Linked DNA regions of Drosophila melanogaster. Changing the gene in region 2 together with the main gene of any one other region gives a genetic interaction. Each region holds a gene or a part of one and is shown on either strand. Other genes may lie near its edges.

Region 1 (3,600 bases), 7.8 Mb from region 2:
TTTGGAATGCAAGCGAACCAGGACGACAACTGGTAGCTGAGAGCTGGATGCTGAATGCTGAATGCTAGGAGCGTGGAGATGAGAACAACGTACCGTTCCGGCTCGCACGAATGGAGGGCGGCGGGCATTAGCCATGTCCCCATGCCCTATACCGTCTACTGTCCAATGGAAGAAACCGGCGTGGTGCTGGCTATCTATTCTACCTTTTTGGCCCAAAACGATGCAAACGATGCAGCCGATGCAACGCGACGCCTGCAACTGACAAACGGCGGCATCAGCCACTGTGCGTTCGTTTTAGTTCGCTTTTCGTTTTCGTTTTGGTTTTTTTTCTTTTTGGTTTGGTTACAAATTTTAATGCGAAAATGGCAAATTTATTATAAAGTCGCCCCCCGTTTTGTTCACTCGCTTGTCAATTTGATTGCCGCGCTGTCGCTTTGAACATGAGATATGGAAGGTGTTTGCCAGCGGTGTATTACTTTTTGATTTGTTTTGGCCAGGCCCGTTTGGCTTGCGCTGAATTGTGCTAGCTGGCTAGTTGGCTGGTTAGGTGGTTAGCTGGTTAGCTGCTTAGCTGCCTGCTTGGCTTGGTCAGTTGAACAAATCACAAATCTGTCTGTACAAATCGCACGTATCTGTGCGATGGCTACTGCCACTTCTACTTCTACTTCGACTTCTACTATTGCTATTGCTGCTGCTGCTGCTGCTGATGCTGCCATTCAGGTGACAATTAATTGAGTGGAGCAGTCGCTTTTGGGCCGCCATCTCGTGCACTCACCGGCGCCTTCGTTCCACATCCATGCTGCGCTGCTTGGTCACAGTTTCTCGTCCAGCTGGCATGCAAATGCAAGATAACAAGCTGATACTGCTGCTCCAGCTGCTGCTTCCTGTTGGTCAACTGCTGCTCCTGTGCTGCAACTGAAAGCGAAGCAAGGGTTTAACAGAGTTCTCTTCGGGGTACACATATTTATATTGTACATTTACCTGCCAGGAGTTGTTGGACGTCTGTCTATGCTGGGAATGCTAATAGTAATGAGGAGAGGAGGCACGCGTCAAGCGCTAGTTGTTTGCTGTTTGCTGGCGATGAGGTCACGAGTGTTTCGTTGGATTTCTGGCTAACTGCTGCCACTGAACGCCAATCGAATACGGATGGGGATGGGAATGGGAATGGGTATGGGTATGGGGATTGGGCACTTGGCGCTGGCTTCTTTTGGTGGAGTGCCGCCAACGCCACATGCGGACGCAGCCGAGCACCCGGGCGTTCCCAGGTGCGTTTCCCACACGGCAGGCAGGTGTGCTATCGATTCCCGGAAAATGCTATCAATCTAGTTTACTTCCTGTGCAAATGGGATCGTAATGACCAGGATGATCACGTTGACCACGATGGATTGTTGGGTAAACAAGGGAACGGGGATTATTGTCCGCAGTCCGCTTGGCATGCAACAGTTGTGTCAACACTTGTGGCCAAAAACCTGGCCAAAATGTGTCGAATGCGGCGGATTGGTGGTGTTGAAGGTGGGCTTTTGTTTCTCGGCCTTTTGAGTTGTTGGTTTTTGTGTGCCCCAATCAAGTAGCTTTTTCCTTCTTCTATTTTTTTGTTAATTCCAACGATACCTCTGTGCACACACACTTACACGAGCGCACGCACACCAGTGCACTGCGAACGGCGAACGTAGCAAGCGCTACAACAACAATAACAAGGCGCTTCACAGACACACACACACGCGCGCACACACCGATGTGCGTCACACCGACGTACTGTCCGTCGGCAGCGGGGGAAACGCACGGGGGGGCGGGACGGGACGGGGGCGGCTGACCGCCCAAATTGCGAATGTCCAGTTTCGGCCGCGGCCAAATAGATCAATTTGGTTTCAATTAGACGCTGCGCGTTGCACTTATTTTATTTCGGCTCGGTGCTGGTAGAGATGGCAATTGTGTTTACATATCGAAGTTGAAGTATCGAAGTCACTAGGCGCCGATGAAAATACCAGAATATACCAGGGCCAACAGGTGGCGCTCCAAATGGCGATGGTGCTGCGGCAATATCGGTTGTCTGCGTCATCGATGGGCCGCTTGTTATTCGATAGACTCAGAAACTAGCTTCATGAATAGTTATGTAAATCGGTTGCTAACAAAATAAAAAGCAGTTATTTATGAATAAAGTGATACAGCAAAATATGAATTGTACTACGCATTCTTTGCCCACATTGAAAATATACTAATACGAAAATGCATGTTTAGACAAGGTCTTCAAATGCCAAGTAATATATAATATAATCTTGGTGTGCTCATTAATTTAAATATTTTTAAAAATAACTATAAATTGAACACATACGTGTTAGAGTATCATTAACCGAATCTTCGATAGTTCGCCGCGCCGGCATTCGATTAATCGATACTATTGCTGGTGGCAGGCCCAGCACTATTAACCGCAGCCAACTTCACGCGCCTTGTTCTTTTTTCCGGTTGACTTTAACGAGAAAGGTTGTGCACGAATTCTTTTCAAGTGAATTATCTTTTTTTTTATGTTTTGAATGGGTGAAATTCAATGAAAGAGCCCACGCCAAGTGGCAAATGACACAATGGGCCGGCCGTAAACACGAAAGGACAGCTTTTTTCGGGTTAAAACTTCGGCTGGCAATTTTTTGTTGTGCCCGTGCATGTGTGTGTGCGAGGGAGAGAGAGAGAGAGAAAGAGTGTGTCTGTGAGAGAATCGTGGAAATCGCGACAACGTGTTTTTGGCAGCATTGTAATAGATTCCCCATTTGTTTTTCCCGTTCTGCCCGCAGATGCCAGGCGTCACAGTGAAGGATATTGACCAGCACGCGGTTACCAAGGCGGTCGCCGTCTTCTTGAAGAAGTGAGTACTGAACATCAAGTATATTTCCACCACATAACCTCACAATCCATTTGTTTATCCCCCCCCAAAAAAAAAAAAAAAAACACGAAAAAAACCAAATAGGACTGGCAAGTTGAAGGTGCCCGACCAGATGGACATCGTCAAGACCGCCAAATTCAAGGAGCTGGCGCCCTACGATCCCGACTGGTTCTATGTGCGTTGCGCCTCGATCCTGCGCCATCTGTACCACCGCAGTCCCGCTGGAGTCGGTTCGATCACCAAGATCTACGGCGGACGCAAGCGCAACGGTGTCCACCCCTCGCACTTCTGCCGCGCCGCCGACGGTGCTGCCCGCAAGGCTCTGCAGGCCTTGGAGCACGCCCGTTTGGTCGAGAAGCACCCGGACGGTGGTCGCAAACTGAGCTCCATTGGACAGCGTGATCTGGACCGTATTGCTAACCAGATCGTGTTCAAGCAGCGCGATGCCGCCAAGCAGACCGGGCCCATTGTTATTTCCAAGTAATCACACGGCGCCCCTTCGAATTCTAAAAAACGCATTTTTAGACTTCTATTGTAAGCGCTTTTTGTTTGCACGAGAGAGATGAGAAAATAAAACCAACCACAATTTGTAAAAGTCTACGAAACATGCGTTCTTCGAATGCTAGAAACATTTTTTATGCGGTCTGTAAACAGGGGAATAGAATAGCTCCTCTTGGCAATGTAAAAAAGTGGTAGATTTATCAGGATGCTGCTCATATTAGTAA
Region 2 (3,956 bases):
GTGAAATGTGCGCAGAAACACACTGACTTTATTATAATATTTCTATTTCTTATATTTTGCAGATTGCAGCACAAAAACAATAAAGAGTTCAGACGATAATATCCTGGAAAGAAAACATTTCGTTTCGATAAGTACGACAAGACACGAAACAACAAAATGTCTCCAAAAGCGGTAAGTTAACCAATAACTATAAAATAATAAATAATTAGTACTGATTAGACAGTATTATAATAAGTTCGAAATATTCCATTATAATGGTAACCATATATCACTGGAATGAAACCACAAACGAATCTGATAAAACAAATGTTTTGCACTAGCGCCTAGTAAATTATTAAAGATTAGTTATATTAAATCACAACGAAAAGTTTGTCAGCTATCAGCTATCGGAAATTGTGTTCTTATCAAGAGAGCACTTCAGCTACAATTGTCGTCAATTGTGGAGTGTTGGGATCGCATCGCATCTTTTAATAGAACTTCTTCTGGGGGGGAATGGGGATGGCCAGGCGAAGACGTCATATTGGCCCAACTGTTGACGTTGGTAATTGTATTTGATTCTTGGACATTTGCCAAAAAAAATTTCATCATTTCATCAGATACGCAGACGGCGAAAAATTGGATTAGAAGACGACGTCATTGATATGAACACATGAGTAGATCATTATTTCATACCAAAGCATTTGCCAATTTCTTTTTGACATGTTGTGATTTCTTTTTTTTTTTTTTTGGCAACCGGAAAAGTTCTTATCTCACCCAGCGATGGTCTAATGACATTTTTGCCTCAACTTGATTGTTAATGAATGATGTATTTGTTATGAGTTCATCATGACAATCAAACACGTGATTTGAAGTGATTTTATAATACAATTTGGATGATTGAAAGGTGATTTTTGCACAAAGCTTTAAGAAGTCGTTTGCCTTTTAGGGAAATTTCTCTGTTCCAATGCAGTAGTCGATGCACATCGTGCTTGAATGGTTTCTCCATAACTTTCCCTTTTTCGCTATAGTTTTTCTCATCCATAACTAGATGTTTATTGGTCTGTTTGAATAGCTTGATATGTGAGTGCGGAGTGGGGAGGGGGGAGGGGTTTAATTGCTATTTGAGGCCCAAAAGCGGCATCAATAAAACAGAATTGACAGCCAACGCGTCGTATGATTGACGCTGATTTGTTTGCCTACCTTGGGGCTGCGTTTCTACGGCGCTCTCTCGTGCTCTTCGGCGCACAGCGCTGGCCAAATGACTAGTGTTCAAACTAAAAATTAGCTAACTATACAGCTAATTCAATCAATAATTCATTTAGAGAATTGGTTGTGTTTTGATTTATATATATATTTTTTAAATATATTTTACCATATTGCACTATTTACTTGACCCCCATTGCATTCACATACTTCTCTCGTTCTGGAAAACCCATTTGACCTCTATGGTCAGCAGTTCTTTTCTTTATGGTTGCGGCTGTCCACTTTTAGATGCATAATTAACATGCAATTTATATTAACTTGACAACGAATGACTGGGATAAAAATTTTCCCATTTTCTTGGGCAGAAATTAAGTTCATTTTGTGTTGTGTTGTGTGTTCCCTTAGCGTTTCTTTTGCGTTCTGCCGCCGCCGCCGCTTTCCCAGTGTTGTTTTTTGTTTTTCTTCTCTTCTAGCATTTATTTTCCTTTTGCCTTTTGCGCTTGTCTTCCCCATTTGGCGACTTAAAAACGTGCCGTGACTTTTCCATTTTCCTCAGTTGCCGCTGGACAACAGAATCGAATCGTCGCTTTTCCGCTTTTAACCATCGTGTCGCGTTGGTCGGTTGGTTTTCCCGCGTAGCTTGTGGCTGCTCAAGAATATATATATATTTCCCAGACGGAGATTTGCATTGAAAAGGCGTAATAATTCAAAAGCTACTGCGCAATCCGTTTTCGGTGCCCAAAATGGTCGTCGTCTCCGACAGCCGCGTCCGTTTGCCGCGTTACGGCGGAGTCAGCGTCAAACGGAAAACGGTACGGACCACACTGCTCACTATTTTCCACGTTTTTCCTGCTAAGCTGGAAAAGCGCATCCCCCTTTTCTTTTTTTTTTTTTTCATGTGCTGCACTTTTGTGGTTTCAAGTCAAAAACCATTTTTTTTTCTTTTTTAAAAACTGGTTATTATGCTCCAACTTCCGTTGCAAATAGCTGTTGTGTTTTTCATTCTCAGCGGCCAGGGGGAGAAAAAAACAAAGCAGAAACCACGGTGGTTGCATTAACCCAAAAACGTTAATTGGATTGAAATGAAAAACGTTTTCAATTTCCTAACATTGTGTCACGTTTGATTTGCATTCAGCAGCCGAAAGCGAAAACAAAACAATGAGCCCTCGGACTGAAAAGCAAAACCGAGCCAAACAAAATGATGAAGTTAAAAAATTTTAATTTGTTGGGTCTACCACACATTGTTTTTTCCCATGCCCAGAAAATGGTAACAAAAACCAGCGGATTTTCAAAGGGCCTTTAAAACTGAAATTGGTTCAATCAATCTTAACAGATAGGAAATAAAATAGTTTAAAAAAATTTGTAGCTGATTTAGGTATTTAGCAAAATTCCTTTGTATATTTCAATAAAGTAAAGGAATATTTTAAACGAATGGTTTTTAATGTAAGACTTACATTTGTTGGCCATGTTGTAAAAAGCGAACTGAATTGTTAGTTATATATACTCTATTGTCTGCGCTGCATATTAACCCCAATTTTGATCTACGATCGCATTTACTTTGATCCAAATGTGGCGATTGCGCAATGGTATGTAGTGTAGTTAGTACAGGTTGACATGTGCATGTGCTGTGTGTCCGACGTTGGGTGGCGATGTGGGTGGAATTTCCCTAGCTTTTCCGCCATTTCACATTGCAAGTTGGTCAAGTGGCACGCGCAGTGGGATAGATAGCGGCTGAGCTCTCTCTTTCTATCTCTCTCTTGTATAACCACCGATTACCACTCGCTGGCCATCCGGTCTATATTCCCATACACACACACACACACACACACGCACACCCCACACCCTGTGTTTTCCCCCCACTTATTTCCACTATCTAGAGCTGCCTGGTCATTTCCAGCTTGTTGCTATTGTCATGCCTGATTGATTTTTGCTTTGCTGTTTTCCAAGCGTGATTTTTCACTGCGGCCCGCTTTCATTTTCCCTCTTTCCATTTTGCCCTCCATTTTCCCCCATTTCCCCCCATTTTTTCAAGCATTTTTCACCCATTTGAAACGTGTGTGTGCGCGCGTTTAAGTCGAAAGCCCGACTTATGCAAGTCGTGGCAATCGAATCCAATCCTCCAAAGCGAAACGGGAGCTCTTGGCACGTGCCCTGCTCACATCCCGTTAATCCATCGACCCCTAAACAAATCGTGGGGGATTCTCCTCTGCACGCCACCTTCATCGATGGGTGTCAATTTTTTACTCTTTTTTTTTTCTATTTGGCTTGTGAGCATGCCCAGTTAGTTTGATCTAGTTAGCTTTTCATGTCATGGATGATGGCACTTTTAACTTAAGAAATGCAGCAAAAGAAACAAATAAGTTACATTTAATTAATAAAACATTCTGTTTGATTCATTCGTTTTTAGTTTGCCTTCTAAAGGCAATGCTTTGTTCTTTTATATATATATATATATATATATTTTTGCGTTATTTTAATCATTTAATACGATATTTTTTTAATATCACGACATCCCTTACTAATTTCAGCTAAATGTGCGCGTCACGACAATGGACGCGGAACTGGAGTTCGCCATTCAGTCGACGACGACGGGCAAGCAATTGTTTGACCAGGTGGTGAAGACGATCGGCCTGCGAGAGGTTTGGTTCTTTGGACTCCAGTACACCGACTCCAAGGGCGACTCCACATGGATCAAGCTGTACAAAAAGGTAGGCGACTATAAATTTCATACAAATAAAGTTTGAAGTTTATAGTTCAAAAGAATATAAATTTAA

What was found. A genetic interaction does not mean that the proteins touch.
Region 1: of Moe (region 2) and Rok, changing one suppresses a phenotype caused by changing the other (phenotypic suppression), as found in Drosophila melanogaster (one study listed by BioGRID).

What each region holds. Positions count from the first base shown.
Region 1 is NC_004354.4:16,635,447-16,639,046, forward strand, and holds the start of Rok (Rho kinase), read right to left. Parts: upstream 1,969-3,600; 5' UTR 982-1,968; intron 916-981; 5' UTR 838-915; coding exon 776-837; intron 222-775; exon of another isoform or gene 129-221; coding exon of another isoform or gene 94-128; intron 1-93. Other genes in the region: RpS19a (ribosomal protein S19a), read left to right, coding at 2,787-2,857, 2,960-3,359.
Region 2 is NC_004354.4:8,876,507-8,880,462, reverse strand, and holds the start of Moe (moesin), read left to right. Parts: upstream 1-1,737; 5' UTR 1,738-1,925; coding exon 1,926-1,994; intron 1,995-3,301; exon of another isoform or gene 3,302-3,407; coding exon of another isoform or gene 3,408-3,449; intron 3,450-3,710; coding exon 3,711-3,890; intron 3,891-3,956. UniProt on the Drosophila melanogaster protein: Involved in connections of major cytoskeletal structures to the plasma membrane. Together with wgn, involved in control of axon targeting of R8 and R2-R5 photoreceptors, independent of egr.